Linked DNA regions of Arabidopsis thaliana. The protein of the gene in region 2 interacts with the protein of the main gene of each other region in a pairwise test. Each region holds a gene or a part of one and is shown on either strand. Other genes may lie near its edges. The genes, in order: WAVH1 and ACBP4.

The links.
Region 1: the proteins of ACBP4 (region 2) and WAVH1 interact in a two-hybrid assay, tested with the Arabidopsis thaliana proteins (one large-scale study listed by BioGRID).

The regions. Positions count from the first base shown.
Region 1 is NC_003071.7:9,639,659-9,654,538, forward strand, and holds WAVH1 (Zinc finger (C3HC4-type RING finger) family protein), read left to right. Parts: upstream 1-5,611; 5' UTR 5,612-5,774; coding exon 5,775-7,826; 3' UTR 7,827-7,997; downstream 7,998-14,880. Other genes in the region: AT2G22690 (zinc ion binding protein), read right to left, coding at 10,162-11,307. UniProt on the Arabidopsis thaliana protein: E3 ubiquitin-protein ligase involved in the regulation of root growth. Acts as a positive regulator of root gravitropism. Possesses E3 protein ligase activity in vitro.
Region 2 is NC_003074.8:1,555,654-1,573,254, reverse strand, and holds ACBP4 (acyl-CoA binding protein 4), read right to left. Parts: upstream 11,585-17,601; 5' UTR 11,376-11,584; coding exon 11,217-11,375; intron 10,687-11,216; coding exon 10,616-10,686; intron 10,185-10,615; coding exon 10,121-10,184; intron 10,029-10,120; coding exon 9,957-10,028; intron 9,844-9,956; coding exon 9,649-9,843; intron 9,548-9,648; coding exon 9,470-9,547; intron 9,348-9,469; coding exon 9,237-9,347; intron 9,049-9,236; coding exon 8,982-9,048; intron 8,879-8,981; coding exon 8,817-8,878; intron 8,560-8,816; coding exon 8,420-8,559; intron 8,244-8,419; coding exon 8,117-8,243; intron 8,038-8,116; coding exon 7,923-8,037; intron 7,786-7,922; coding exon 7,697-7,785; intron 7,557-7,696; coding exon 7,473-7,556; intron 7,391-7,472; coding exon 7,208-7,390; intron 7,019-7,207; coding exon 6,872-7,018; intron 6,700-6,871; coding exon 6,640-6,699; intron 6,394-6,639; coding exon 6,208-6,393; 3' UTR 5,919-6,207; downstream 1-5,918. Other genes in the region: AT3G05440 (C2 domain-containing protein), read right to left, coding at 1-63, 244-537; AT3G05430 (Tudor/PWWP/MBT superfamily protein), read right to left, coding at 2,218-4,079, 4,475-5,510; AT3G05425 (uncharacterized protein), read right to left, coding at 5,650-5,781; AT3G05410 (Photosystem II reaction center PsbP family protein), read right to left, coding at 11,799-12,111. UniProt on the Arabidopsis thaliana protein: Binds medium- and long-chain acyl-CoA esters with very high affinity. Can interact in vitro with oleoyl-CoA, barely with palmitoyl-CoA, but not with arachidonyl-CoA. May function as an intracellular carrier of acyl-CoA esters.

The DNA.
Region 1 (14,880 bases), on a different chromosome or scaffold from region 2:
AACAATTATATCAGTCACAGTCATATGTCTTGTTAATGCTTTTCTTTCATATGAACCACTAATTCTTTTTTTCATTGATCAAATTAATTTTAGAGAAGCTTATGATATTTGACTTTGGTAATAATACCAATACTCAAAGAGAGTAGCGAGGCCTAAACGTTAACATATTATTTATTCATTTTTATTTTATTTTTCATAATTTTATATCAAAACATTGGTTATAAAATATATAAAGTTATAAATGTCATCTATTTGAATTTATTATATATATTCACACTTGGTTTATATGAAAACTAGAATAGTTCAGTCCTAAAAACATTTTAACAAAAAAAAACTAAATTTTTTGAAAATAGTTAATTCATAATTTACAATTTTAGTAATCAAGTATTTTTTATTTTATTTTTGATTAATGTTTTTGACTTACTGAAAATTATGTTTTGTATAAAACAAATCAGACACTTAAGCGGCTAATTTTACTTAAAATTGGGCATTCGAAGGTTCATGAACTCCTAAGCGGGTGTCTAGTCGCCGCCTAAACCGATTTATTGAACATTGAATGCTACAATGAAACTCAAAAAATCATTTTTACATAAACTAGACTTATATTTTTGTAGCTTTTATTAGTAGTGTTGTTGTGGATCACCATCCAAACTAAAACCGGTACAATACAAGTAATAAACAGGAAATATATATACTTGATTTCATATTTTCATACTAACACAAAGACATGTTACTCAAATTCCACTGTAGAAAAACTTATTATCTTCTTACTCAAATTCTACTGCTTTGTTCTCCGCCGTTGCACATTTATCTCTACATGAGTGGACAACGTTGGATTTGTATGGTTGAGTTATTAGGTTTATTGGAGGCTACTTTCATAGAGAAATGAGAACACCGATCTTCTCAATCAGTACTATTGTGAATCAAGAATGCTAGATAACGATTTCATATTAGAAAGTTTAAAGGGTATAAAATACTTTATGGTAACTAATAGAACAATGATAGAGAAGTTTGAGGTACCGATAGATGGTTATGCACTTAAATTTAACAAAATATATATAATTTGGTATTAAAATTATGTTTTTGAAAGTTTTGGTTTATAAAAAAATTTCGTTTGTGATATGTAGCTATATAAATATTGTATATATAAATTAATCGGGTGGACTTTCCAAATATCACGTAATTAACTGAAATTTTATTTTACTATCCTGATAAATAATCCATACTTTTTTTTCCGTCAAAATAATACATAGTTATGACTTATTATATTAAATAAATAATTAATGGACCACAACATAGAAATCTAATCGCCTTAACTAATATATAATCATGGATCGGTCCACAGACAGATCATATGGCTGTGTCTCCCAAAACCTTTCTTCTACTTAAGCTATGTGTTTCAGTCAAATTATTCTTATTATATACACTCCAACAAACCACTATCTTCTAATTTCTAATCCTCCTTTACTCATTGTACTCATTCTTTTAAGCATACCCATTAAAAAGAAAACATATTTTTTCTTCTAGTTTGTTCATTTCCTCCAATTAATATTCATATGTTTAAGATTGATATATACAATTTTGTTTGAAGACAGAAGAATAAGATATTAGATACGAAATGATTAACTATATTATCTAAATATTTGGTTTGACTATAGTCTATGTCTTTTTGTCTACAATTCACATATACATGTTTTTATTCGTATTTAAATTTGTTGCTCACTATCACTACAAACTAATAATTATGATTTTTATTTATTTATTAAAATTTAGGGATTTAAAATATTCTAAATTGTGTGAATAATGCATTGATTCTGCAAATGGTGGAATACGATGACTAACTAAGTTATTAGACATCCGATAACTCCATCTCATACTACATGTATATTAAGTTTTTAACAAATATAAGAGAAGGAAGTTATTAACAAATATAATTTTTGTAGGGGTACATATTTGGTGTGGCTAAAATTCATTTAAAAAAAAAATAGAATCCAGCTAATTTATATCCATAACTTTTTATTAAACAATTTTCAAATCTCATTGAAAGGTCAACAGATAGATGACTTCATTGGCAAGTCGTTCGAAATTGTAACTTCATCATGTACATAACTCTATATCAAATCCTTTCACTAACTCATGCTAAAAAATGAGATTGAATAACACATTTGATCATCTCTTCAGGTTACTGAATACATCTTAAAAATATTCTGCAACATTTGCTATGATTTCCTTACATAAAATAAAATAAAAACATTTGCTATGACTATTTAATAAGTAATAGAGTATTAGGAGAAATATTCCCAACACTATTTTTGGTTATTATCAAAACAGAATAACTTTGGGTGGGTCTTTATATACCTTAATGACGAACCAGCTGATCATAAAACGAAGCCTTATTGAATGAGGTTCCTGGCCATTGGTAAAGAAGTTCAAAATTTTGGATTAGTATTGGTGGCGCCATTATATAAAAGTAAAACCGGGAAAATATTGGATTATTTGGTTCATCTGCTAAGCACGAATTGATAATCTCCTAAGGAGGAATTGAGAAGTTTGTTTCAAAATGTTAATAGAGCTTCCTAAATATCTTAGACTACGCACTAGCATAATGCTAAGCCTGCCATAAGGCAAATGATCAACCTTCAGAGTTCAGAGATATATTATGAATCTCATCATCGATATTCAATAGACAGACAGAGTTTTCATATTTTACTTGAGTAATTGCATTTTAACTGTTGCACCTAAGTATGATTATTCACACAAAATTTAAAGCGTCGAGCACAACAATGCAATAATTTACTACCTCCACAAATACTTTGCTTGCATGAAATATGACAATAAAACGTTTGGTATTTTTAAAACGCAAGAAACCATACTAGCATAATAGTAGTCAAAGTGTGATTAGTCTATGAAAGTAGCTTAAGACTACACCAATAATATGTGTCTGGTCCTATAACATACTACAAAATAGCCAAACACGTAGGTATGCATGCAAATGTACGTTAAAAGCTGTAACAAAAACAGACAAACAAACAAAAAAAAAAGTTTGGCGAAAAAAGGTGATAGGTATCAATAACTAGTTGAGATGGGATAGAGATAAATTTTAAAAAATGGACCGACCTATTACAAACAATTTAATAAAAGTAACACAAGAGTACAGAGACTAAAACAGTAGCTATGGTTTTCTTTTGGCGTCTCTGTAATAAATTGGTTTCTGGGGATCTTCGTCCTATCTCCCATGCCATTCACTATCAATACATTTATTGATGCCTTCATTATCATCTTTCTTTTGTTTTTTTGCCGATCACTTTATTTTTTTAACTCGTACCATATTCTATAGCATTGATCCTCTTGTAGTCGTAGGTCGACTTTTGTTTTTATTTGATAGTAACACTTATGTCCTTGGTGATATGTATTTTTCAGAAATGCTTTTTCGATTTATTTAAATGTGTACCCTTTTGTCGACCAAAAAAACAAATGTGTACCCTATCTTTAGTGTTTACTTTGTAGTTTGTACAAAAATACGTTTTTATGTTCGAGCAAGTTTACTTTTGACAAAGAAATGTTATTATAATAATAATAATAATATATTGAAATATCAAAATTTTGTGTGTAAATTTATTTAATTATTTGAAAATTTCAAAAATTTCCAAAACAATACGAGTAGCTTTGCTTAAATATATCTAAAAATACACAAAATAACTAAAATATCCAAAAAAATCCTAATATTTTCTATATATAAGTATAAATATAACTAATATATACTTATATTTGAGATATGTTCGAATTTTTTGGATTTTAAAGTTTAGAACCGTTCGGGTATTTTAAAAGTTTGGTTTCGAGTTTGGATCGGATTTTTCGGATCGGGTTTTTTGGATCGGGTTCGGGTATTATGCACTGGCCTAGATAAAAGAAAGAAACCATTCATCACCTATAACATTTTTACTGCATCCACCGTTATTATCAGTATACGAACATTACCTCAGTTTCAGCATTATAGCTTAGCAATAAATAGCTGAAGAAATGTAGTTGGTATTATTGTTATAGCTTAGCTAGTGGTGGCAACATGTTTATTTTCTATTCACCAGGTGATGATGGCTTATCGGATCAAGTCTTGATTCGAACATTAAATGTTTTACATGGATCGATATATAAACAAGTTAAAATTGGCTCACATCCATAGATCGATCCCATAATCTATGCGTTTATACATTCACTGCACTGTATTAATTTAACCCAATCATATTTGCTCATCTACTACATTAAATTCTGTCAAAGTTTCAATAGTGTGTTACACAATAACGGTCAAACAACAAATGATTCTCCAATAACAACTATTTAGACAGTCAAAAATTTTAGCGTGAGACTAGACGGATCGATAGGGCATAATAGCATATATGTATAGCCCATACATTAATAACTAGACATTATTACAAAAATTTCGGTGCTAAACAAGTTTTTTTTTAATGGACCCTTTTATTAGATTACTTTAAATAAACCGATGTTAAAAATCTTGTTTACAAAAGTAATAAAATGCGGTTGGATATGAACATTTCGTGCTAAATAATCTGTTTTAACATTTTAACTTCAAAAAAATAAAAATAAATATAAAAATCAAACACATCCTTGTCTTCATGAATCGCCTCTAAATACGTAGCAAAGATTGGTCACTTTGTTGGAAAAGACACCACTTTTATCAAGTCTGAGGAATCTGTAAAGAACGTTACTTCTTGTTTGTCTTGACCAATCATACATCTTATTGTTCATACGAGTGAACGAGTGCTTCCACTTATGTAAATAGACATGTGAGACTTCTTCGTAGGTTGACATCACCTATAGTTGGATATTTTCTTGTTGGTAAGTTTTTAGATAGCCAAAATACTATTAAACATTCATAAGCAAGTGAAAATATTTATTTGAACGATTTAACTAAAATGTTGTTATGTATTTATACAAACATATATATTTTTTTATACATATACATGTTATTTTACTAAATAACGTTTTTGTCCAAAGTTTTTTTTACTGAATAACGTGTAATCAAATAAAATAATAAAAGAACAAGGGATCTCTTCTTGATAAAATATTTTGATTTCATATAAAAGTAGGTGATATCTATAAAATAAATTTACAAAATGTTTTAGTTTGTGAATGAACTTCAGAGTAAAATTGTAAAGTTAAAAGTAATTTTACAAATTTAAATAATTAGTTTAGTTATTTAGCAGATACATATAGTCAGTCTGCTATCATAGCATTTAGGTTGAAGCCTTTAAGTTTATCTTGTTCAATTTTTTATATAATATATATATATATATTTTTAATCTAGGTGGTAAACAAGCTTTATCACTTAAAAGGTTAAAATGAGTGGGGCAATAATAGATGTAGCTCATAAGTTCTATGTTGAAAAAGATTAATACCAAAAATCAATCATTTTCTTATAATCAACCATGGAGTAGAAAAGCAATTACACAAATAGAGTAACTTCTAAAATATTTACAGCTTTTTAGGTAGTCAATTACTATTAGTACTATTTCTTAATTCTCTCAATAAAATAAAATAATAAAAAATCATATAGATAATCCCAATATCCCCAATCTTCCACTATAATTGAACAAAAAAGACTCCTTTTTAAATTCAACCTCTCCCACCTTCTCTCTGCAACTCTCTCATTTTCTTAAAATCTCTTTCTCACAGAACCAAAAACCAAAATCTCAGTCTCAAACAAACAACAACAACACACGAGTCACGAGGTTGAAGAAGAAGAAGAAGAAGCAAATATGTTAAACGGCTGGAGAAGAGCTTTTTGCACTTCCATTCCCAAAGAAACTAACCAAAACGACGTCGACGACGACGGACTCGTTGGTCTCCGCCACAAATCAACCTCTCGATTCGGCTTTTTCTCAACTCCTTCTACGCCTCGTTCTGATTCCGGCACCGGAACTTACAGCCTCCGTTGCAGGACTTCAACAGCCACCGCCGTCTCCACTACTTCATCTCTTCCCGGAACTCCAAAGCTTAAGTGCAAAACCACCACCACCGGAGAAACAACTCCCAGAAACAGAAGCCTTGTCTCTCTTTTAACACCTTCTTCTTCTTCTATTTCTCCGGCGAGCTTCACTCTCCTCAAATCCAAACTCCGATTCAAGCAGAGTAGCAGTAACAAATGTGGAATCTGTTTACAGAGTGTGAAATCAGGTCAAGGTACGGCGATTTTCACGGCGGAGTGTTCTCACACGTTTCATTTTCCTTGCGTAACCTCACGCGCCGCCGCGAATCATAACCGTCTTGCTTCTTGTCCGGTTTGCGGATCCTCGCTTTTGCCTGAGATTCGAAATTACGCTAAACCGGAATCTCAAATCAAACCGGAAATTAAAAACAAGTCGTTGAGAGTTTACAACGATGACGAAGCTTTGATTTCATCTCCGATATCTCCCGCCGGATTTCACACAATACTTGAATCAGATGAGAACGAAGACTGCGAGGAGTTTACAGGATTTTCCGTTAATACTCCGTCACCTTTAACGGCGAAATTGTTAACGGATCGAAACGTGGACGTTAAGCTCTCTCCGGAATCGGCTATCGTTGCGTCGGGTAAAGGCTACGAGACTTACTCCGTCGTCATGAAGGTGAAATCGCCACCGTTTCCGACGGCGCGTGGATTTGCGCGTAGAGTGCCGGTGGATTTGGTTGCTGTTTTAGACGTAAGCGGGAGAAATTCCGGTGGGAAATTGGAGATGTTGAAACAAACGATGAGGATTGTGCTTTCGAATCTCCGGGAGATGGATCGTTTATCGATTATTGCGTTTTCGTCCAGCTCGAAACGGTTATCGCCGTTACGGAGGATGACGGCGAACGGGAGGAGATCGGCGCGAAGAATCGTAGATATCATCACCGTTCCTGGTTCTGTCTCCGGCGTCGGAATTGATTTCTCCGGTGAAGGGATGAGTGTGAACGACGCGTTGAAGAAAGCGGTTAAGGTGTTAGACGATCGCCGGCAGAAAAACCCTTTCACCGCCGTGTTCGTTTTAACGGACCGTCAAGCCCATCAAGTGGCCCAATTAGCCCATTCGAGAATCCCTATACACACCATATGGCTTAGCCACGCGATTCCCGAAGACGCGTTTGCGAGGACCATCAACGGTTATTTGAGTTTGTCGGTTCAGGATCTCGGTTTACAGCTCGGGATAGTTTCCGGGTTGGGTCAAGGAGAGATAACTTCTGTTTACTCTCTTTCCGGTCGACCCGCTTGGCTTGGAACCGGTTCAATCCGGTTAGGTGATATGTATGCGGAGGAAGAAAGAGCGTTGCTGGTTGAAATCAAATCACCGGTTAACAATTCCTTAACCGGTAGTAGATCTCACAAAATCATGACCGTTAGATCTCGTTACGTGGATCCAACAACTCAGGAATTAAGAAACCCCGAAGATCGCGCGCTTTTAATACCTACTCCTCTAACTGTCCGATCATCATCAAATCCCAACATCTCACGGCTCAGAAACCTCCACGTCAGCACTCGAGCCGTCGCGGAGTCTCGGCGGCTAATAGAGCGTAACCATTACTCCGGAGCTCATAGATTGCTGACGTCAGCTAGAGCATTGCTTGTGCAGCACGGTTTGAGCTCGAGCGATGCGTGTATACGTGGACTGGACGCAGAGATAGCTGATCTTAATAGTGTGAAAGGAAGACACGTGGCGGCATCAGAGAGTTTGGAGTCGCTTACTCCGACGTCGGCTTGGAAAGCGGCGGAGAGGTTGGCTAAAGTGGCGATGGTGAGGAAACATATGAACAGAGTCAGTGACTTGCATGGTTTCGAAAACGCTAGATTTTAGCTTTTTTATGTATTTAAATATATTTCCATATTTAGAGTAACAACTTGTGTAATAATAATCTGATACAAACAAATAGAAATGGTGCATAAATGGAGTTATATTTGGTCAAATGATAAGTTTGGATAGTTATTTTATATCATTCAGCTTTTATGCGATTTCATTTCTCACCGTAAAGTTGATTATACAATTTTGGTTAGGGAATTAGGTAGTAGGTTTTACCAAATCAATCTTAATATTTAAAATTGTATAAAGAACAAACTATATATTAAGCCACTATCATATACACTCAATACTAAAATCTTACACGCTTAGAGAAACTCGTGTAAAATGTCAATGTAAAATGAATTTTAGCAAAAAAGAAAGAAAAAGAAATCAATGTAAAATGAATTGGCCGGTGATATTTGACTGAAAACATGACTAGAGCTCTTCCATTTGTTTTGTTGTAAAATTTATACGCATTCGAAATGCTTATAACATACATTAGTCGTGTTGAACATGGTATGATCTTTTCTTTTACTTAATTAATCTCTTATGAGAACTTTTTATATATATATTTTTGTGCTTTACAATTATTATAGTGAAACTTTTTAGATAGAGCCTATATTCTATGTGTACTTCTTCGTAATGGATGTGTAGATTATAAATACTAAAATGTAGTCAAAAACAAGGGATGTAGCCTTTTCGCGGCTACACACTGATTAAATTCGTTGTATCCAATGATGGTCAACAAAATATTTTCTAAGCAATACAATAAATCAGCAATAAACAATTCTAAAGAAGCCTTATAAATATGATTGCAAATGCTAATAATTGAGTTTAGGATATCATTTTAACGGCGGAATTCTGTCTCCTTTTTGTTTGTCTCGTAGGCTTTTTACACCTCTCTTATCATTTTAACGCCGGAATTCATAGTACTATGAATCTATGATTGCTAATGAGTAATGCCACATCTCTTTTGGGAGTCGCTTGCGTTACGCACAAAATGCATCATATTTTCCCAATTGTCTAGCAATTAGCCGCAAAAGATCAATGTTTACACAAGATTCAGTAGGTATCTCGATTGATCGGTCATTATCTATAGTTTTATCCGAAATTAACTAAAGAAACTTATCAACTTCTTAGATAAATTAATGGTTGTAGAAACCCCTTGACTTAGTAGTTGATTTTGTGAACTTTTAAGACAAGATGCGAGATATGAATCATATGATTTACGCATAATTCATATATATTTTTTACATTATGGATACAAAAAGTTTAAAGTTGTTGTAGATAGATCTGTCGTTGGATGGTCTCGTGTATTCCAAACCGGTTAAATTTATCTAAATGTAAGTTTATCTTAGAAATTTTGATTAGTCAATTAGTCACATGTCTATCTCAACCAGCTTCTTGAACTACTCGAAAATAAATTGCTAAAAGATATCACTTTTGTTAAAAATACAAAACTTATATATAAGCATCGGCCTAAGTGTTATATATAAGCATCGGCCTAAGTGTTACATACTTTCATTTTATTAGCCCGACTAACGTATACCACCAACTTTTAAAAGTTTTGAATAAATTCTTGTAACTTTAGTCAAACAGAGAGAAAGAGAATAAAAGCCAAAAACAACTTTGAAAGCAAATGTTTTTGGTACGTTTAATTTGGAAAGCGATGGTGCGTTCCACTAAAGAGATGCAATAATGGTTCGCACGACTATATCTAAAAGTTCATATCATATCTAAACAAGTTCAAGATTTAGTATATACATGGACACGTATTAATTTATGTAGACCAAAAGCCAAAAAGTAGTTCACAAATTTATGTTAGTGGAGAGAGGAGAGTTTTGAAATGATCAAGAAGACAAAATGACCCTAAATACTTATCTTTAATTTAATAACTCTTTTATAATGTACTTTATCCATTAAGAATCTCAAAAAGCTCTCCAAACATAAAGAGTTTGATCCTTGGGGTTGTATTGTATTAAGTGAATGATATACCAAATTTTAAAGTGTTTTCTTTTCGAAGCACCAAAGTTTAACGTTTCCATTTTCGTATAGATAAAGATATTCGACAATCAATACTTAAAAAATGAAACATTGGTGAGTGAACGACGAATGATGGTCGTATGATGAATCGGTAAGTTCTGTCTTGGCAAGTGATCAAAGTTGGCGCGATAACGGATCTTCCTGTCATTCAAAATTCAAGACCACTAGACCAAAGACCATATGGGTATAAAAGGTTTTATTTCAAACTATAGTTTTTGTACACGAACCCAATTCAAGTTCATAAAAGAAAAGATAAGAAACATTTGTCTACTTTCTTTAGAAATGCTGCATAAGAAGTTGTAAAGCTAGTCTAAAAATATAACTGCTTACACTGCGAAGCATCAATATCTGTTGGACAATAAGGACACTTGAACGACCTTGAACCATTCCTCGACATTCTGTTGATAGACTGCTTGCAAAGGACATGACCGCAAGCCAATCTCATCGGCGGATTATCTTCGCTCGAGTGTTCTTTAGAGACAGGGCAGACAAAGACCGAGTAGAAGCGATACTCTTCAGAGAGTTCCACAGGTACAAGAAGTTGCTCCATTGTTTGCCACTCTTTTCTTTTCTCCGGCAGCACGTTCAAATACTTCAAAAACGTCGGTAAAACTTGTGAACCTGCTGCAACTGTTACACTTAAAGGACTCTCTGGTGATTCACCGAGTAGGATGCAGTATTGTCGGGTTAGTTCCTTGGCAGCGTTGGTCCACAATACAGGTGAGAGGAACTCTGAGTATGGGGATTTATTGAGGTTTCTGATCCATAAGAGAGAGCACATGAGTTTCTGTATCTCAGGGAAACAGCAGCTATCTGCTGAATACGTAGCAAAGTGTTTTCTCGCGTAGTTGATAGCTTCTTCGGAGGTTTTGTCTTTAGCTATCTCCAAAAAGTGAAGGCTGTGAAGTTTCAACTCAAGATCTGACTTTGCTTCCTTTAGCTTGTCAGAGTTTGAAGCTACCCATTTCAAAGCTGGTCCGAGATCCCGTTCTTTCATGGCTTCAAGTATCATATTCATTTCCATGAAAGCTTTAGTAACAGAAGATTCAGGCTTAACCTCACCAGTCTCGGAAATGAAACAGTCACCAACGTCGTACATGCCTTGCCTGTAGAAAAACTGAGCTAGTATCTGATGAACTGTATGAGTATCAAACTTAACGTTTCTGTAAGCCGTCGATATATCTGGATTCAGAGTTTTGTCAAGAGCTTTCGGGTATTTGGTAAGAACCCCATTTATTTCTTTCTGAGACGCTTCTAGTAGATTGATTGGAGCAATCTCCTCAAAAGTTTTCTTCAGATCAGCAACAACAGATTCATGATTATCCTCCTGTATCGTTTTCAATGCCTTGTCGATTTCTTGAGACATTTTGTCTACCACTTCATGCGTTTTGCTATAGCATAGTTTCTGCTTTTTGGTAACACGATCAAACGCATCTTTGACATTCTTTAGCTCCATTCTAAAGATAATCAACTACATGAAAGAAGGAACCAAGTATCAATAACCAAAAGAATCATATCCACAATAACCACTATAATCTCCATTAATCAACTCATTGTTCAGAGGAGTTCTTAAATCTAATCGATTCATTGCAATTCAAATTCTCATAGCATAGTAGCAGAATCAACGCATCAGATGCAACACCAAACATTTTTTCTGATTATTCATACCAAATGATCCAGGAATCGAAATATCAGACACACGGATTCGAATTTCAAACAAACCAGAGAATCTGACGATCGCGAATCAGAAATGAAGCGAAGAAGAATTCATATTAAGAAACCGTGGAGAGTCAGAGATACATAAAAGGCATCAAAGAATCTGGAAAAACATGAACCTGAAGAAGCGATGAAGATTATCGCCGGAAACGGAGAAAGATGGAATCGGAGGAAGAAGAGAAGATGAATTTGCAGATTTCTTCTTCAGTTTCTTTGAAATAATCAATCTCTCTGATCTTGAAGATGAATGAATCACAGCCGTTGGATTTGATCGGTTTCTTTTCAACAATGTAACTATTTGGGCCGAGAATATTTTTACGTGGGCCTAGTTAATTAAAATTAAATGCGACAGTTTGAGGTGTCCTCTCCAAGTTAACGAAATGTATATATGAAGAAGCTAGGTCTCTCGGCTCTCGCTAGGGGTTTCTAGGTTTATAACGTATCAACAAACAAGGATTCATTATCTCCGACTCCCAAATCAAATGATCTCATCATGGAGATATTGTCGAGATTACCTTTAAAGTCATTAGCGAGGTTTCATTGTGTGTCGAAGCTATGGGCATCAATGTTTGGTAGTCCATATTTCAAGAACTTGTTCTTGACCAGGTCATCGGCTAAGCCGCGCCTCTTATTCGCCTTAGTTGAGAAAGGCGACGTTAAAGAAGAATCATGTGGTGTGTGGAGCTTTTTCTCGTCGCTTCAGCTTGATAATTTATATGAGGAATCGTCGTCCACTCTTGTAGCAGCTGCCGAATTTCATGGGAAATTCTCTCCAAACAATCATTATGTTAACCTAAAAAAAAGTCACGTGGCTACGCCTCTGGTTTAGTCTATTTCCATGGTAGTTAATACCAGGGTGGACTTCTGATATGTAACCCCATCACAAGACATCATGCAATTTTACCGAAGCTCTATAGTTATAGACTGGCATATAGCTTTTTCGGATTTGAAGGGGACGTGGGATGTTTGATGTTTTAAACCCGTTTTGTGTAGGTAACAAAACTAGCATCACAAGATTATACCAACTTGACCAAAGGTCTGTTTAGTGATTTTGTAATGGACGTTAGGCCATCTCCAACGCTGGGCTCTGTTGAAATTTTGCAGAGTCTCTGTTGATTATTTTGATTAAAATTTAATCAAACTGAAAGAAAAACTAGAGAAGCGTTTCTGTGGAGAGAGTTTATGAGGGAATGAGAGAGGCGAACATGTGGCATACATTCATTGGTTATCTTCTTTAAACAAAAGAAAAAAATAAAAATGATTGATTTCATTTTCTTTGTTTTGCCCGAACAAATTCTTTTCTCTCTCTCCTTCTCTTTCTCTTCGCGACATTGACAAAAGAAAAATTGCTCAATCTTTGAAAAACCAGAATAATTGACGCCGGTGATTGTTTGTATTTCGCTGTGTTATCTTAGGCTTTCAACGGTGTTCACATCGGCGGAAGTTTGCTGAAATCGAAAAATAGCAAATTGGATTCGGAGAGTTATCGCCGACGCCTTCCCCAATTTAGGTATGAATCAATTCTAGTCTTTATTACGTGATTAGATGTTGTATTTGGTGGTTTAATCAAAAAAATTAGGGTTTTTGAATTGAAGAAAATTTAGGGTTCTTTTTTTAAAATTAGGGTTCTTCGTTTGTAGCAAGATTAGGGTGTTTTTTGATATATCTTGAAGCATTTTCTATAGTTTTGTATGGTCATAGATCGTTTTGGAGACATGTTGTATAGATTTATATGGTCATAGATCGTTCGATAGTTTGATTTTCTTTTTAATGTATATGTAGATGTGATTGATTGGGTTTAGTAAATGTAAACTTTGTTGTTTAATATCTGTTTATGTGATTGAATCAAATTGTAAAGTTAACTGTAAATGCTAATTGTTGTTTTTTTCTCTATGCTTTTGGTGAGTGTCAATGGCGGATGAGCAAGTGGTTGTGAGTTAAGGAGAAACTGTAAAGGAATTCGTCTATGCACTTCAATGAAGGTAAATATGTACTTGATTGATTGTTATATAGCATTGATTGTTATTTTTTTTGTGGATAGACGTTACATAGCTTTTCACTGTGATAAATGGTTTTTGACAAATGATAAAGCTTTTGATAGTGATAAATGTGAGCTTTAGACAATGATAAATGTTTGCTTGAAGTTGATTTCAACTAATAACCATAATAATGGCTTGAAGTTGATTACGACTAATAACCATAACTTTTGCTTTTAAAAATCTTTTTGCCTTAACTGAAATTATTAATGTCGAAGCAGTTTATATATAACCCAAACATCCAAAGCTACTAACTTAAACCATTCTATTCCTTAAACACATAGCTTCTCAGTTAACTTTTCTCTTCTTTAAACACATAGCTACCCTTCTTTCTACTCTAAACATCCAAAGCAACTTGTAAATGGATTCTTACAATCCATTTTCTCAAGCTTCCCGTTTTATGGACTTGTTGCAACAGTCAACAAGAAAGCCACAACAATGAGACCAATCAATATGAGGTTGGATCCTCAGAAATTCCCGTTTTTGGAACTCAACGTTGTCAAGAAAGTCATGAGAAACGTTATGCTTCTAGGGTGGCCATTGCAAGAAAGAAATGGGCAGCTAAAGAGGATATAGTACTCATTAGTGCCTGGTTAAACACTAGCAAAGACCCCGTGGTCGGAAATGAGCAAAAAGCTCCAGCTTTTTGGAAGAGGATTGCTTCTTATGTTGCAGCAAGTCCAGACCTTGATGGTGTTCCAAAGAGAGCGTCGGCTCAATGTAAGCAAAGATGGGCGAAGATGAATGAGCTAGTCATGAAGTTTGTGGGCTGTTATGCCACAACCACAAACCAAAAAGCAAGTGGGCAAACCGAGAATGATGTCATGCTCTTTGCAAATGAGCTCTTTAAAAATGATATGAAAAAGAAGTTCAGTCTAGATCATGCATGGAGGCTGCTGCGACATGACCAAAAGTGGTTAATATCTAATGCTCCTAAAGGGAAAGGAATTGCGAAAAGAAGGAAGGTTCGAGTTGGTACTCAAGCTGCAAGTTCACAGCCTATTGATCTTGAAGATGATGATGTAATGCGTCGGCCTCCGGGTGTGAAGGCTGCGAAAGCAAAAGCTAAGATGACACCAACAGTTAAAGGAGAAGAAGTGAATTCAGTTGAACACTTGACTTCTTTGTGGGATCTTAAGGAAAAAGATTGGGATCGTAAGGATAAGCAAAGCAAAAACCAAATGCTTGAAAGTCTTCTTTCAAGAACCGAACCTCTTTCAGAGTGTGACTTGGTTCTTAAGAAGAAGCTAATTGAGGAGTTGTTTTCATAAGTACCG
Region 2 (17,601 bases):
ATCATCTTCACAAGGAGCTGATGGCTCATGTCTAATATTTCCCCAAACTCCTAATCTACAACCCTCATGAACCCTAGCAATATCCGAATTACATCCTCTGATTTGTCCCCTAAAAATACATCCAAATCTAAACCCTAAACATATACTACCCTTTGGTTTTCCGGTCTCGGTTATGACCTGATAATTTATATTGGTATGCTCGGTTATGGTCTTCTCTTCATTCAGGTGCCGCAATTGCTTTACCGGTATGAAAAGTTTCCCAACGACTTGGTCGGACCCGAAAAATCTCTTACACTTGATTTGAAACACAAACACTGACTCATTCCTTCGAACCTTGTCATCTTCTATATAGAATTTCATACGATAATTCCACCGTAAGAATTTCTTATCCCATGCAGCAGCTGGAGTGACTTGCTTGTCACGTGAACCACGTGTGACCGAGACGGAAACATAGACAGTTGGTCTGAACAAAAGATTGATGGAGTTGAGATCTTGAGCTGATAGAACGTTAATCTCCACCGGTTGATAATACTCCATTATAATCAGTAGAAGAAGAAGAGATGAGTAACTTAGAAAGAGGAGGTTTCGGGATTATAAAAGTTGTTTGATTAAGGGTCCTAGTATAACTACGAATCTTTTATATATATCGTTTTAAGGATTTGCATCCAAATCAAAAAGCTTTTGGTATATTATTTTGTTGGGTCAAAATCATTATTTATTGTTGAAATTATGCTATAGATAAATACTTTTTATTATTATTATTTTTTATCAAGCAGTCTTAAAATATAATAAAGGATAAATCAGTAGTTTAGATGTCAATCTGAAATATTTTGTAGAGAGGCTGATCAGTTTCAAACACCGCCCGTAACTGAAATAATATTGATAAAAACTAAACTAAAACAAAACCGAAAAAGAACTGATATATAGTACAATCACGATGAATCGAAACTATAAGAAATTTGTATTAAAAAAAGATTTTCCTTAAAAAACTTTTACGATTATTAGTATGATCATGACTAAAAAATCCTCTACAACATCGAAAATTGTCTATCTTGTTGGAAAAATATCAATTGGACAAGAGAAAATATATTTGCTAGATCCGATAATATCTGATTTCAAATAAACTAAACTAGATTTTAACCCGCGGTATACCGCGGGATGATTTATTTTTTAAAAGTAATATATATTAAAACTTGCAAATTTTATTTTTATAAAATATTTATATTTTACAATTTATGATTGTTATTAAGTATTTATATATATTAATTGTTATTAAAAATAATAAATTAAAGATTTAACCCGTATTGAAACAGTGGATTAATTATATTTTACTTTTTATTAATGTTGATTCAAAAATTCGTCTTGCCAAAAAGTCATTTATTTTATTAATATTAATTTTATTTATGATATGACTTTGAATTATAATCTAAACATTTTAGCTAATAACTTAGGAGTGTACCATATTTATTTAATAGGGGCCGAATGCACTTTTACCAAAATCCACCAAAAAAGTCTTGCAAAAATACTATAGACCCAAATGTACCATATTTTTTTTTGTGCTAATTTTTATGTGATTAAGATTTAATTGATTTCGTATATAAAATATTAAATCGTTTTACGAACTTATTTGTTTATAATTTGGTAACAGATAGATATTTGAATATTCAGTATATTTTGCTTTAGTTTAGGAAATTTTTGATGACCCGTCTTTAAATCCAATAAGCCCTATAATTAAGAGATGAATATTGTCGTTAAATAATTTTGATAATCTTAATGATGTCATTAAAAGATTTTGTTTTTGATTAAATTTTTCTAATGGCATGTAATTAATTACAAAAAGTAAGGTTATGTACTTTCCAAATAATATAGTAGGATATTGTTATGCTCTAAAATGTTAGATCTAATATCAAACGCGCAGAATTAAAACGCATTTGGTTTCAGTTTTCATGCAAATTTGGTTAATTGTTTTTTTTTTTTTTTTTTTGCAGTTTGATATTGGCTTTAAAATAGGAAACCAATAAAGTTTTTTTTTTTTTGGCAAACTGGAAACCAGTAAAGTTAGAAAAACATTCTGGTTTAAAATCGGTTTATATGTCAAATGTGGATATTTAGAGAAAGAGAGATGTTCTATTCACTTTGAATTTTGATACCCTTCTCCAGATAATACTAGTTAATAATACCTAAGGACAGACTTTTGTTTTTCTTTAATGTAATCTTTCATAAGGAATGATAAGGGACGTAACCCAACAAACCCGTGACGTTGGCCACAGCATCGTTACACCTTGTTAACAGCTCCATCATCTGCAGGGAGATGTCCACCTTAAGCTGTGACGGGTCTAGTGGTGGCTCGACGTGGTCCACTTGGTTATTTACAGGCTTTGGTTCTGAGTCTTGTGAAGAGAGAGGAAGAATCGAAACCGAAAATGGTGACTCTGTTTCTTTCTCACCCAACATGAATTTCACTCGTACTGTTCTGTGGTTACCATTACGGTTATTGCCTGGTTTTTTCAAACAAGACTTGAGCTGGATGTTTGGTTGGTGAACCGGCGGTGCTTGCTCTAGTAGCTGGTTCAATGGTTTAGTGATGGGTTTGTCTGTCTTGGGCCTCTTGGCTTTCTTCAGTTCATGATCTCCGGATGCAGAAGAAGCTTTCATGTCACGGAGAAAGTATGTCACATTCACATTGCCAAAGAGAGATTTGCTTCCTGATACATATCTTAAGGCAGTCTGCGCATCGAGTTTATACAGGAAGCCAACACGGCAGATCGAGGATTTCCAGGAAACTCTGATGGCTGATTGATCCAACTGTCCAAAGCGTCCAAACCTCGCCTTAAGCAGATCAATGGAAGGGAGAGATTCACCAGGAGGAAACATCATGACCAGCATTGTTGGCTCAACTACCATTGCAGATGGACCCGTCTTCTTTTCTTGTTGAACTATAGCTGGTTTGGCATTGATGGGAACTCGACATTGGTCTCTTACTGGATTTAAAGGTGCAAGACTTGATCTCTTTGTTGCATCTTGGTTTGTTTTCTTGTCAGAAGCCAGTGGTTTGAACTGAATGGTTTTCTTTAGCTTCTTAGTTGATGGGACATCTTGTTGACTGTCAGACGATATGCGGTTTCTCCCAGCCTTTGATTGTTCATTAGCTCTGCACAAAGTCTTTGCAGATTTTGACAGTTTTGTTGCGGAAGGAGATGTGGCCAAGCTTTTCTGGTAAACATGTGATCGGAAATGAAAAAAGAACTGCCTTATAACTCTAAAAGAACTTCTATCTGAGGATCCAAAGAGAGGGTCAAGCGAGAGAGCTAGCAAATTACTCAACAGCTGCAGACCATCAAGTTTCACTATCAACATATTGGAGCGTCTCTTTGCTGAATCTACTTGTGACGATTTCTTGGCCCAAGCTTCTCCAGAAGATAACGCTTTCCTCTTATCTGGAGTGTCACGGTTCAGCTCTGACACATACTCTTTCTTCTTTTTCTTTGGTTCTGGAGGACAATTCTCAGATTTCATTTCGCCAGAAGACCGTTTCACGACATTGCCTTTCTTGATCCCAACTCCTGCAGAAAATTTCCCACCACTAAAAAGCTTGAGAGAGCTTTTGTTAGATCTAGAATTTGTTCCAGTCTCATCTTGTTTAAGGCTTTTCATTGGTTCAAATTTCTCCTGATCTGGAAATAGAGTTGCTTTTTCTCCCATTCTCACATCTGACTCTTGAGCTAAACCCTTGTCATCATCACGAGAGAGCTTTGAAACAGAGGATTTCTTTCCAGGAATATTACCACTTGAAGAGGTGAAGTTCATGCTGACAAGCCCAGTCTGCTCATGTTTCCTGGGAGTTTGGAGACATGGAGTCCTTCTCTGGAGTAGACGATCCCAAGCTGAAGATCCGTTGATGCCCTGAAACTGAGAAGATTCTTGGACCTGGCCAAATTGAACTGTCATATCACCAGCTTCTTCTCTTCTTTTTGGAAGATATTTGTCTTGTTTAGTAGAATCCTTTACATTCATAGCTTTTGTGTAGCTCTTTGGGTTGCCCAGAGTTTCTGCACTGACCAATGAGCCACTCAAGGGGACTGTAAACACAAGCAATGCATGAGGAAATATGAAATCTATTCCAACCACCCAACACAATGAGATTTCACAATCCAGAATTTAAGATCAAAGATATGCCATATCCTTTTGAGGCATTCTAAGAATACAACTTCATAGCTATAAATCCTACAATAACAACCTTAAGAAAAGCATTTTTGATGTCGAAGGATACCCAAACCACAAAACTCTCGAATGTAGCCTATATGGCTCGAGAAACAGAAAAACAAACTCAACGAGATCACCAATTTATAGAGTACCGTATCTCTGTGATACATAGGAGAAAGATCTAATAAAACTCCATAAAATTCGATTTTGGAAGCAGAAATATTACAAATGTATTCAAAACAATGCCAGGATCGCTGAAAGGTGAATCTACCTCGAAGGGGTGCTCTATTAAGTGGTTCATGTGTCTTCATTAAACAGTATACAGATCTTGCCCTGAAAGCTTGTTCATATGTTTCATCAAACTCCTCAAACACTGCTCTACGGAATGCACAAACCGCTACTTTCTTCTGGAAAGACTTTAAGCTGTCTGTATCACACTCTTGAGGTGCTAATGCACACCGCTTCACAAAAGCTAGAGTTTGCACAGATGAAAAACTATCCCTAGCTTTCTGAATCTGCTTAGAAGAGTAAATAGCTTGGACCTCGTAATCAGGCACGTCTACAGCAAAGTAACCTTGAGCATTAATAGGCCTAAAGTTATACTGATTCCGACATTTACAAGTCAAGCCAAGAGCTGACCTTCTACCTACTTCATTCATAGCTTCTTCCACAGCTTTTGCAAAGTGATCCGAACTAGTTTGCTGTGATTTCTCCTTCACATGAGGTTCAAAAGGGATAAGCTCAGCAGGATCGAACCATCCATAACTATTATCCCCAAAGAAAGCAACCAGAACGTAACCCATCTTCTTCACACGACGAACAGAGGGAGACGCAAAAGCTTCATTGAATATTTGACCTGGCCACCATGGATGTGACTTTACCTTTCCCCAAACCATATCTCCCACTTCAAAACCATAGCTCAATGCCTTCGAATTTCTAGAACCCATTTTCTCCCTCGCAACATAATCGTCAAATTCGGATAAGAAAGATTTGTAGTCCGGAACTCGCCTTTTCTCCATTTTCTTCTCACCAGATTCGTTGCAGAGCTCATAAAATCGGTGATCAGAGTCTCTAATCTCTCTTTTCATTTCACAAAATCTAGGTTCCGTTTCACTGTTAGACACTCGAGAACCTAAATCGACATTTCCATTTCCATCACTTCCAGTGTCTGCAGCAACCGAATCAAGCTCCATAAGGAAAGCTTCGGCCTGATCAATCATTTCAAATTTCCCGGAGCCATTGCCAGAAAAAGTAACGAAACTATCACCAAAAACCCTAGGATTCACATTCACCTCAGCCGAATTCATTTCTCTCTAACCACACTTGAACCCTCGGTGTTAAAGAGCTTTCATAACAATGAAACCCTAGAAACAACTCGAAGCCAGAAGATGCGTAACTTTGTTTAAATCCTGAGATTGTTTGCTGGAAGAGAAAATTTAAGAAATTTCATGAGAGTAAAGCTGGAGAAGATGACAAAAGCATCACTTGGTGAGAAGGACATTTTGGTAACTTCTCAGCGTCATAAATGGTGATGGTGAACGGTCGAACTTCCCATCCAGTAATAGGTTGCCACGTCATGGGACAAAAAAACGTGATCTTTTTATTTTATTTTATTTTGCTGCCTAAAACGTGATTTTTTGTCCACTTACGAAGTGAGGTAAATTTAATTTAATTTTTAATGCAAACGAAGACTAAAGAGTGAAGAGAGTAAGAGACTCGTAAATATAAGAAAATTATGATTGCTGATCGTAAACTGATTTAGTTTTCATAATTTTGTCAGACACTCCCAAAACAAATATTTCAAAAAAGTTAACGAATATTCTGGTGAATCACTTGTATAACAGAGAACAAAGCTAAACATCGGTAGTAATCAAAGCTCGCTAAAAAAATATCTTATTGGAAGAAGAAACAATGCGAGAGACTCAGACAAAAAAAACTATATATATTTCTTTACTGAAAGCAAATATCGTCCGGAGGAAAATGGCATTACCGGACCAAAAATGATCAAGGCGAATCATCATCTTTTTCCTGAGGGCTTCCAGCGAGCCAGCCCCATACGCCACCCGAGCCCTGTCGTTTAGCGTTCATTGCAGCTTGTTCTGAGGCAGCCTTTTGACGTTGCAGGAGTTCGAGTTCCTTCTGTAGTGTTTCCAATGTTTGAAGCTTTTGTCTTAGCTCTGCAACATCAACCTGCAGATTCGGAGAAAGTGACCCAATTAGATTTGCTTTGTTTTTGTTCTTATGACGTGATGAAGCTTATCAATAAATGACAGAGAAGATATGTGATAGATCCAGTGGTTACAATGGATGAATGTTCTAATCAAGATTCCTATTCATCCTGGAATATGAGTATATGTAGTCATTAAATCACGGGTTTCACGAGATTCCAAATTCTGTAGGTTATGGTACAAAAGAGATGTGGCTACGGTTTAGTACCTCCAGTTTGAAACACCTTGATTGTTCGGCTGCAAGTTGGCCACGAACAGATTGAAGTTCCTACAAAATGTCAGTACAAAGTTAGGTATATCATATTCGAGGAAAAATTCCGAGATTTCAGATGTTAAATGTGAATGCAATTGGAAGACTGCTGCAACCAGTCTTTATGAACGATTGGTTCACCAATTTATTCATGTCGGCTTCTGTTTTAAGAAGGTGATAATATTAGTACCTTGTACAAATCTGTGTTTCGTAATTCTGCTTCTCCTAACTCTTGCCTTAGTTGGAGAGTCTGCATCCTCTCTTTGTTCAGTGATGCCTCCAGCTCTTCCTTCTCAGATTTAATAGTCGCAATAATGCGTTCGCTGTTTCCTTCAACCTGGGGATTAATCACCCAAAACATAATAAGAGTGCGAGAAGGTGATGATCCGGACTGGAGTAACTATATTCTGTGTCGACACAATCACTACCACAGCATATATGCATAAGATGCTTCAATTCTCTCAAACAAATCAAAAGGTGGTGCTATGCAAAATATATTAAGGAGGGAAATTTGACAAGAAGATACCTTTGATCCAGGGTTAACATTGTCCATGACAATTTCCCGTACCCTGCCTTCTTGGCTCACCTCAACCTCAGACTCAATGTCTCTGGTTGTGGCATTATTAACAGCAGAAAGACTACCTGGCAAAGGCGCTTCCAGAGTCTTTGTTTGCAATGTTGATTTGTGGCTTGGTTTAAGAAGATTAATCTAATGCCAGATAAGAATTAGAAGCAGAACTAAATGAAAAATTAAGAGAAATGAACTTATGGGTTCAGATCACAGTCCCTACTTCGTTATTGTAACGTCCATTGTATCCACCAAAAGCGACTAGTACATCTTCACCATTGTATGAACTCACCACTAAACTTAATCCCTGTCAGTAGCAAAGGAAAGGACGATGGAAATGAAATAAGCATGACTTGACTTTTTTCGAAGTCTTGAAAAGGCTTCTACCGTGTTTATTTGTATAGCTATCTGGGAATTAATATGGATAAAGTCTGTTTATTTAAGTACCTCGCTAGCAAGAGGTACACGTCCTTGAACTGAAGCAACGACCGACCATGCAAGAGTTGACATGTTTAGTACAACACTCTCCGATGCCCCTGCAGTAATTTGTCACAAAATTAGTCACCCCACACACACAAAAAAAAAAACCCAAGCAAATATCTTTTGTTCTAGGGGGTGATAAACAGAACGGTTGGGAAGAGAAAATTTCCAAGGGAAAAGTGCATTAACATACCACTCTTGTTATCACCGCCACCAACAATAAACCAGTTCTCCCCAATTGTCACGCCAGCATGTCCAGCTCTTGGAGTTGGTGCATCACCTTGCTGTGCTGGTCTTGACCACTCCATCTATATGTGACAATTATATCAGAGGCTGACAAAGCATGTTTGAGAGCAGCTGAAAGAATAGACTCTTAGCTTAACTTACAGTTTGCAAATCAAGGACATGCAGGTCATCGAAACAGGTTGCATGTGAGCCGCCACCAAAGATAAGAAGGAACCGTTCTGCATGCACTGCAGCAGCATGATCAGACCTCGGAGATGGAGATACACCCCTGCAATTTGACACCAATTTAAATCCTGAATTGCTAATCTTTCAATAACGACTAAGATACTAAAGGAGATAGGAGGTCGATTTCTAACATATTCATATTCTGGTTATATATCTAATCTTAAATGGGTTTGACTTCTTCGAAAGAGAACAAAATGCAGAAACATCATAAAATCTTACACGGCATCTATCTCATCCCAGGTCATCGTGTCTAGGTCAAGTATATGCAAATCGTTCAGAAGTGATCTCTTTGCATCTTGCCCGCCAAATATCACCAAGGTTTTACCCACCATTGTAACTGACTGGCCTCCACGTGAAACCTAAAAGCAAGAGATAATTATAAGAAAGTCTAAATTTAAGTAACCAAAATGCATATTTGACTTCCAAATTAGCAAGGAGAAATTCTGGATTTAGATGCACCTTAACCCTGAAGATATTATGGGAGGGTAAGGAAAGAAAACAACTTTTATTTTTTTGTCTTTTGACGGCCAAATTTTTTTTTGTATAAAACTGTAATATTTTCATACAAAGGTGACAGGAAAGCAAATGAGACAACATGAGAGAAGTGAAGATATACCGGTGGTTTTCCATATGTCTTTAACATTGACCATGTAATGGTATGGGGATCAAAGACCTTCACTGTGACAGGAAACAGTAGAAAGTGATATGTAATCATTGAGATTCCAGAAAAATCTTATAAATATGTGCAAATTATCGTCTTCAAAGGTATATAAACGCTAACCTTGCATAGATTCTGAGGGATCCTTTGTGTGACCACCGATAGACAGCAGCTTGTTGTCCCATGCTATCTACAAAACAAGCAAAGAAGGTAAGTGAATAATGTATAGCTAGAGTCTTCTTTATTACAAACTAATATAGCAAGTGACTTTCATGAAGAGAATACTTTGCTTTAGCTGAAACCCCTCTCCTGAATATTTCTGGGCAGGAAAGCAAAACGATAATAACAAAAACAAAACGAAAAAGTTAATAAACTTACCAAAGAATGACCAGCACAAGGAGCTAACAATGTCGGAGTTGATGTTTCCTGAGATTCTGTTGCAACCTTGGTTTCAACTCTTGACCAAGTCCAACTTTTTAAATCTAGAACCTGTATACATTCCACAGAAGCTTTGCTTAGGAACTGTCACCGGGACTGGTATTGTCAAGCTAGGAGCTGAATATCTCAATTACATTAGGAGCTTATGCTTATAAACCATAGAGGTTGCTTACATGAAGATCACCAAGGTAACGGCCATTGTGATTTCCACCATATATATACATCTTATCTTGAATAACTGCTGCGCCATGCTGAAAAAAATATAATAAACAAGACTTAGAAAAATACAGAAGATACATGAATGACATAACCTTTTACTTATTCTTCAAAAGAGAGAGAAAAAATAAATTACCTCGTAACGAGCTTTTGGACGCTGACCTGATGTTTGGGGTGCAGTCCACTGGTTATATACAGAAACAGTATTTGAGTCTTCTGAGACTACATCTTTATCTTGGGTTTCAGCCAAACGTCCATTCTCCGTAGAAATTGTTTTTGTCTCACTAAATGTGCTCCCATTCTCAACAACAGGCTCATCTTTTGCTCTCTGCTACAAAGATGAATGCACTAAAAAACTCAAATAATTTTCTTCAATCAAGCAAAAGATATGTGTAATAGTTCCCATGGTTTGGACATCGAATCCCATGGGATACCAAAACTTACATTAATTTGGACATCTACAACAGGATCTGGAATATCATTAGATGCCCTCGAATACCAACCAGGATCATCTTCCTGATAAAAATTGAGCAATAGAGAAGAAAGCAAGGTTATGCTCCAGTTAAGTCTTTAAAAAAAAAAAAAAAATAGACCTCTTTGTCGGTTACCTCCAGAATTTTCACAAAGAGACGCATTGCCTCAATGGAGGGCATGGTTCCGAGCCCCTGCCAACTAAGTAAATATGAAATGCTTCAGAACAGTAGCATGTGTATCTTTCAGGAAAGGAACGAGGACAACTTTAAAGTCTTATTTTCCTTTAAAAAGGATCGTAAGCATTAACAACCTCAGTAATGTAGACCAAAAGGTCCAAAACATAGGTAAGCACTTAGTTTTTTTCCCCAGGGATGCACATTCAAATCCTGCATTTCTATTTTCCTCTAGTAGCTTACACTAAAGTACTCCTTTCCCGTTTCCCTAATGCATTTGGATTCTTACGCTCTAGTAATTGATGAAATCTAAGACATCTCCTATTAATATCTACCATGAAGCATATTCCTACAAGTATGATTCACAAACGCAAGAATAGAAATAAAAGAACCAGTGATAAATGCATAAATGTTAATCGTAGATAAGTATGGGCAAAACACAGCACCCAATCTAACCTTTTCCATTTGCTTTGCTCCACTGGTCTCCAGGCACTAGGTTTCGGAGTGTTGCATGGTCCTACAGTAGCCTGTTTCAATGTTAAATCCAAGAGATCATCAGCACTGAGCCTATCTATCCCAGGGATAAAAACTAGTAGACTCGACATTATAATTAGTACAAGAGAACGTTTCTCTCTATGTTAAGGAACAGCCAGTTTCACCCCCTCGTAAGAAATTCATCTACGACTATACTAATCAAGTTATAGAATCAATGTAGATCCAAGTAAACTACGACTGACGGACCAACGCTCCCTGAGATCTAATAAAATAAAACTGTTTCAATCATGTTTCCAATCAAATCGTGATGAGATCTCGGGTAACATTTTACTGAGCATTTCGAATATACTAACCAGGATCGAAAATAACGATCAAGCACAGCTAATCAGACAAGTAAAGTGCGTCATTTCTAAAATCCGATAAGAATTCGGCGAGAGGAATATGAATCGGTGACTAAAACAAAGAAATCAACACCCAAACGACCAGATCTCGTGAAATTCAAAAGCAAAATCCACAATCGTGAGATCAACAATGGAAGAGATCAGAAATGGAAGTTGCTGACCTGCTGGTATAGCGCATAGAGAAGTAGTGCAGTATCATCGGGGAATTTCGAGATGACGTTTTTCGCCGACGAATCAGATCCGTCGAGACCGACATAAGATGCAGCAGCGTAGAACCTCTCCGGGTAAGCGGGACCAGAGGTTGCCCTAGGCATAGCCATTTGTCTCTCTCTCTGACTACGACCGCGGATTTGATCGGAGATGGAGAAGCCAATGAGCAGAGATAGGCGTTTTCTAGTTTCGTTTGTTCAAAGATACAAACTTATGATTACTTTAAATTATTTTCATTAATATAGAAACATATTCTCAAAATTTAATATTTAATTGATCAAAAATTATAGTAATTGCTTGGTGCAGTGTTTATATAGCGAGCGGCACGATCAAGAAGACATGATTATGCTCGAAACTTTTCTCTTTTTATTGTCACTTCGTATTTTTGACCTTAATCATCGTAATCAACTCAATAGTGTGAATTAATTAAGAAAAACAAAGAGACCCTATCAATATGAAGAAAAAATAAGCTTTGCTTTGTAGTATCTTGTTTCTTTTTGGGTTTTTACAATTTGTTTTCCGATCCTTTACATTCAAGAAATTATATTGAACGATTTCGCAGTAGTGTAAATTTCCGATTTCACCTCTGACCAAGCTGACTCTGGCGCTTGAGCGTTCAGTGTATAAAGCCGGCCACTGTGAGCGCAACAAACGGCTACATTATGCCGCCGGAAAAGAGGTGATTCGACTTTAAACTCCAACTCGTAGTACTTCAAGTTTCTCTCTGAATCTTGTCTGATACTTGATTCTAGCAAAGTTCCTTTCAAATCTGCTCGTTGACCAGATCCTGTCACTGTTCTTACTATTGCCTCTCCTACTTCTTTTGGCCCTCCAAACGCTTCGATTCTATATCGTAAACAATAAACACTTTCATAAAACAGATTCCGCTTCTTGAAATAAAATGACAATTGCTCGTCAAGAAAACATTGATGCTTATTGGCAAAAGAAAAAAAAAAACATTGATGCTCATCGATCTAGGTCACTTTATGATCTTAACAATCATAGCGAATCGGGTGTCTGCACTAACTTCTGTGATAGATTCAAAGTAGTAAAGAGAATCATGTACTTACATTGAGATATATTGTTTCACTTCAAACATGTACTAAATGTAATAAACAATCTTGAAAATTACAACTTTGAAACTAGTTGTTAGACCACTAAAATAATCGATCTAGTCTTACAATTTTTTCTCATGATCAATTAGATTTGTTTGCAAGATCTAGTAAACCATATCACTTAGTCGTTACCAGTTACCACAGAACAATCAAATGTTTCTACTATAAGAATGATGTTTTTTTTTTTTAATGACACGTCAGCTCTAGGGCGATTTTCTTGGCGACTAGGGTTTTCATTCTTTTTCAGCAAGCTAGGGTTTCAGCGGCGGCTTGCCGTCGGTTTCTCATGTCCGACCAGGTTTTACCAGTCTCTTCTGAGGCAGGAACAGTTGGTTCTCCATCTGGATCTGTCCAGCAAAAGTCCTATGCAGCAGTAGTTACTAAACGGCCTTCTCTGAAAAAAGATGAATATGAAGTCTCTGTGCAAGACGGTGTCCCAACCATTGCAGTTCCGAAAGAAGTTATCACTGAATCTGTCCCTCTCTGGGATGATTTTCTGGTGGGACGGTTCCCATCACAAGCTCCGCATGTCGCTAAGATCCATGTCATAGTCAATAAGATCTGGACTCTTGGGGACAAAGCAATTAAGATTGACGTCTATGAGATAGACTCTACTTCAGTAAAGTTTCGAATCCGTGACTCCGCCACGCGTTCGAGAATAGTCAGAAGAGGGATGTGGAACATTGCTGGTTTACCAATGATTGTTGCCAAGTGGTCTCCGATTAAAGAAGAAGCCCAGCCAGAGATTAAAACAATGCCGTTGTGGGTCACAGTGAAGAATGTTCCTCATTCCATGTTCTCCTGGGATGGTTTGAGTTTTATTACAAGTTCAGTAGGAAATCCAATACGGTTACATCCTGAAACAGAATTATGCACAAAGTTTGATGAAGCTAAAGTTTTTGTTGAAGTAAATCTTTCGCAAGACGTTCCAAAGTGTCACAGGTTCAAAATTGAGGAGGAAAAAGATGTTATCGTGGAGTTTATTTACCCCTGGTTGCCTCCCAAATGCACTTGTTGTAGTAAGTGGGGTCACCTAGTGGATGTTTGTGTGAGTAAGCTCAAGCCTCCAGCGCTGGTGATAGAAAGTGAGCTAGAAGAAGGTGAAGTTTTAGCGGATCCTTCTGCTTCTGCTACCACAGTGAGAGTTGCTGACCATGAGTCAGCTAATAGTGGGAATAAAGAGGATGGGATTCAGAACTCGATTTTGATTTCTCAGGAGGTTTTTGAACAACAAGTGGTAGCAGAGAAGGTGGTACCACCAGAATCTCAGTCGGAAGGAGATGGTTGGTCCATAGTCTCCCCAGGTAAAGGAAGCAAAAGTACAGAAAAGTCAAATGGGAAACCATTAACTTTTGGCCAAGCAACAATTTTATCCTCTTCTCGGTACTCTGTCCTGAGTGATCAGGAGGAGAATGGGGATAAAGATGAGTTCCCCACAATCTCCTCAGAGGAAGTCATTGAGACGGAGCGAACGAACTCTATTGATGACGTTGTCTCTACTCAAGCGATCGAAAAGAATTCCACTTCGGATAAAGAGAAAGCAGGAGCGGTGAGAGTAAATCTTCCTCGCTCCTCCAAGAGTTCACACAAAGTCCTTTCGGAGTCTTTTACTCAAAAAGCTAGAGACAATGTCTCCAGCAATTCGAGCAGAAGAAACTCCAAAAAACATCATTAAATGTCGGGGTTCTTCTGGAATGTGCGCGGTTTTAACAAATCAAATAAACATTCCGTTGTTCGTGATTGGGTGAGAAAGGAGTCTTTAACTTTTGGGGGTTTATTAGAAACGAGGGTGGATGAAACTAGTGCTAGCAAGATCATTTCTAAGGTATTTCCTGGGTGGTCTTCTATGACTAACTATGAACACCATCGTTTGGGACGAATTTGGGTTATTTGGAAGAGTTCGGTTCGTGTCACTCCGGTTTATAAAAGTGGACAAATGATTACTTGCTCTGTTTTGACTGAAGAGAATGCAGAGGAATTTTTGGTTTCTTTTATCTATGCTTCAAACTATGTGGATGAGAGGCGGGAACTTTGGGAAGACTTGAGAAATCATTACAATATGCCAATGTTCCGTACCAAAAGTTGGATGATTCTTGGTGATTTTAATGAAATTCTGGAGGGGGAGGAGCATTCAAATTTTGTTACTTCACCTTTTATTCCGCAGGGTATGCGAGATTTCCAAGAAGTCGTTAGAGACTGCTCTCTAGCTGATATGAGCTATCATGGTCCGGTGTTTACTTGGTCAAACAAGAGAGAAGAGGGGATAATAAATAAAAAGTTGGACAGAGTTCTTGTTAATGAAGAATGGAATCGTAAATTTCCTGCGGCTTATGGCACTTTTGAAGCAGGAGGGTGCTCGGATCATTTGCGGTGTAGAGTAACGTTGGCCTCTGCAACTCCGATACCAAAAGGTCCTTTCAAGTTTAATAATGTCCTCACCACAATGCCTGAGTTTTTGCAAACTGTCCAAGACTTTTGGGCTGGTACTCCCGTGCTTTATCATTCAACCTCTGCTATGTTTCGATTTTCGAAAAAGCTAAAGAGTCTAAAGCCTATTCTCAAGTCTCTAGGTCGAAATAAGCTTCATAATCTGTCTGTTCGTGTGGATCAAGCCTATACATCCTTATGTGAGAAGCAGAAACTCGCTTTGGAAACAGCTTCTTCTGAAGCAATTGCAGAAGAAAATCAAGCTTACACTCAATGGAATTCTCTAGCAGTCTTGGAAGAAGGTTATTTGCAGCAAAAATCTAAGTTGCATTGGTTGGATGTAGGAGACCTAAATAATAAGTATTTTCACAATAGTGTTAAGGCCAGGATCGCCATGAATTCAATCCGAGAAATTTTATGTTCTGATGGCATTGTGCGTACGAGCCAAGAGGATATAAAAGAGGAAGCCGTGCAGTTTTTTAAAAGGTTCTTACAAGCTAAGCCAGAGGATTTTGAGGGCTCTAGTGTCAGCGAAATCCAGAGTCTCTTATCTTATCGTAGTTCAATTTTGGATCACGAAAGATTATTGAGAGATGTCACTGAAGAGGAAATAAGAAAGGTTCTATTCTCTATGCCGCAGCATAAATCTCCAGGTCCCGATGGTTATACAGTGGAATTCTTCATACATGCTTGGCCGGTTTTGGGTAAAGACTTTGTAATCGCTATACAATCTTTCTTTCTGAAGGGTTTCCTGCCAAAAGGTGTAAACACCACGATTCTAGCTTTAATTCCTAAGAAGCAGGAGGTTAGTGGTATGAAAGATTATCGCCCAATTTCTTGCTGCAATGTGTTGTACAAGGTCGTCTCGAAGCTTATGGCTAATCGGCTCAAAGAAATCCTCCCTGCCTCTATTGCGCCAAATCAATCTGCTTTTATTAAAGACCGATTGATGATGGAAAATCTGTTGCTAGCTTCAGAACTAGTGAAGGATTACCATAAGGATTCAATATCTAGCCGGAGTGCTCTTAAGATTGATATCTCGAAAGCTTTTGACTCTGTACAATGGCCTTTTCTGATAAATATTCTAAAAGCTATGTGCTTACCAGATATTTTTATCCATTGGATTGAACTCTGCATAAGTACTGCTTCTTTTTCGGTTCAGGTGAATGGAGAGCTCTCGGGTTTTTTCCGCAGTGAACGGGGTCTTCGCCAGGGCTGTTCTTTATCTCCATACCTCTTTGTCATCTGTATGAACGTTCTCTCTTGTATGCTTGACAAGGCAGCTGAGGGAAAACGGATTGGTTATCATCCTCGGTGTCGTAATATGAGTCTCACACACTTGTGTTTTGCCGATGATATAATGGTGTTCTCAGATGGAACTACTAAATCCATCAAGGGCACTCTTGAAGTTTTTGATAGGTTCGCGGCTATGTCAGGGTTAAAGATAAGCTTGGAGAAATCAACAGCCTTCATGGCAGGAATCTCTCCACGAGCTAAGGAAGCTATTCTTCAACAGTTTCCTTTTGCGTTAGGTACATTACCGGTTAAATATCTTGGCCTGCCTCTACTTACTAAGCGAATGTCGCAGATGGATTATCTTCCTCTTGTTGAGAAGATACGAACTCGCATTACATCCTGGACCACTCGGTTCTTGTCTTTTGCGGGTAGATTACAACTGATCAAGTCTGTTCTTTCTAGCATCATTAACTTTTGGTTCTCTGTTTTTCGATTGCCGAAGGCTTGTCTTGTTGAGATAGAGAAGTTGTTTTCAGCTTTTTTGTGGTCTGGTCCTGAACTCAATGCTAAGAGAGCTAAAGTAGCTTGGTCGGAAGTGTGTAAGCCAAAAAAAGAAGGAGGGCTGGGTTTAAAGACTTTAAAAGAAACGAATGAGGTTAGTCTTTTGAAGCTTATATGGAGAATACTGTCGGCTCGGGATTCTTTGTGGGTTCAATGGCTCTCTAAAAACTTGATACGTAAGGAATCGTTTTGGTCTGTTAAGGGAAATTCTTGTATGGGATCTTGGATTTGGAAAAAAATACTTCAGCAGAGAGACAAAGCTAGTCAACTCCATCGAATGGAAGTACGTTCTGGAACTTCCACATCCTTTTGGTATGATCATTGGTGTCCGCTTGGCAGACTTCATCAACTGTTAGGGCCACGGGGAATAATAGATCTGGGTATTGCGAGTCATGCTACAGTTGCTGAGGTCATGAATACTCATCGGAGAAAGAGACATAGAGTGGATCTTTTAAATCAGATTGAGAATTACATAGCGTTGGCTATACAAGACAGAGGCACGGAGAGTGATCGCTCACTTTGGAAACAAAAGGAGGACAGCTTTAAGTGCTCTTTCTCTTCTTCAACTACTTGGCAGCGAATAAGAACCATAAACCCAAGCTGCGATTGGTATCGGGGAGTCTGGTTCTCTTCTGCTACTCCGAAATTCTCGTTCATCACTTGGCTTGTTTTTCAGAACAGACTTGCGACGGGTGATAAACTCCGCAAATGGAATTCTGAAGCTTGGCATAGTTGTGTGTTCTGTGATGAGGAATTGGAGACACGAGATCACCTTTTTTTTTCGTGTCCCTTTTCCTCTCAAATCTGGTGCTCTTTGACAAAAGGTCTTCTTCATGGTCGACGCATCTCGAGTTGGAGCCTTATCACTCCACATCTGCTGGATACATCCCGTCCGTATCTACATCTCTTCACTCTTCGTTATACTTTCCAAGCAACGATCCACAGTTTATGGCGAGAGCGTAATAGTAGGCGACATGGGGGGCTTGCTATCCCGGTA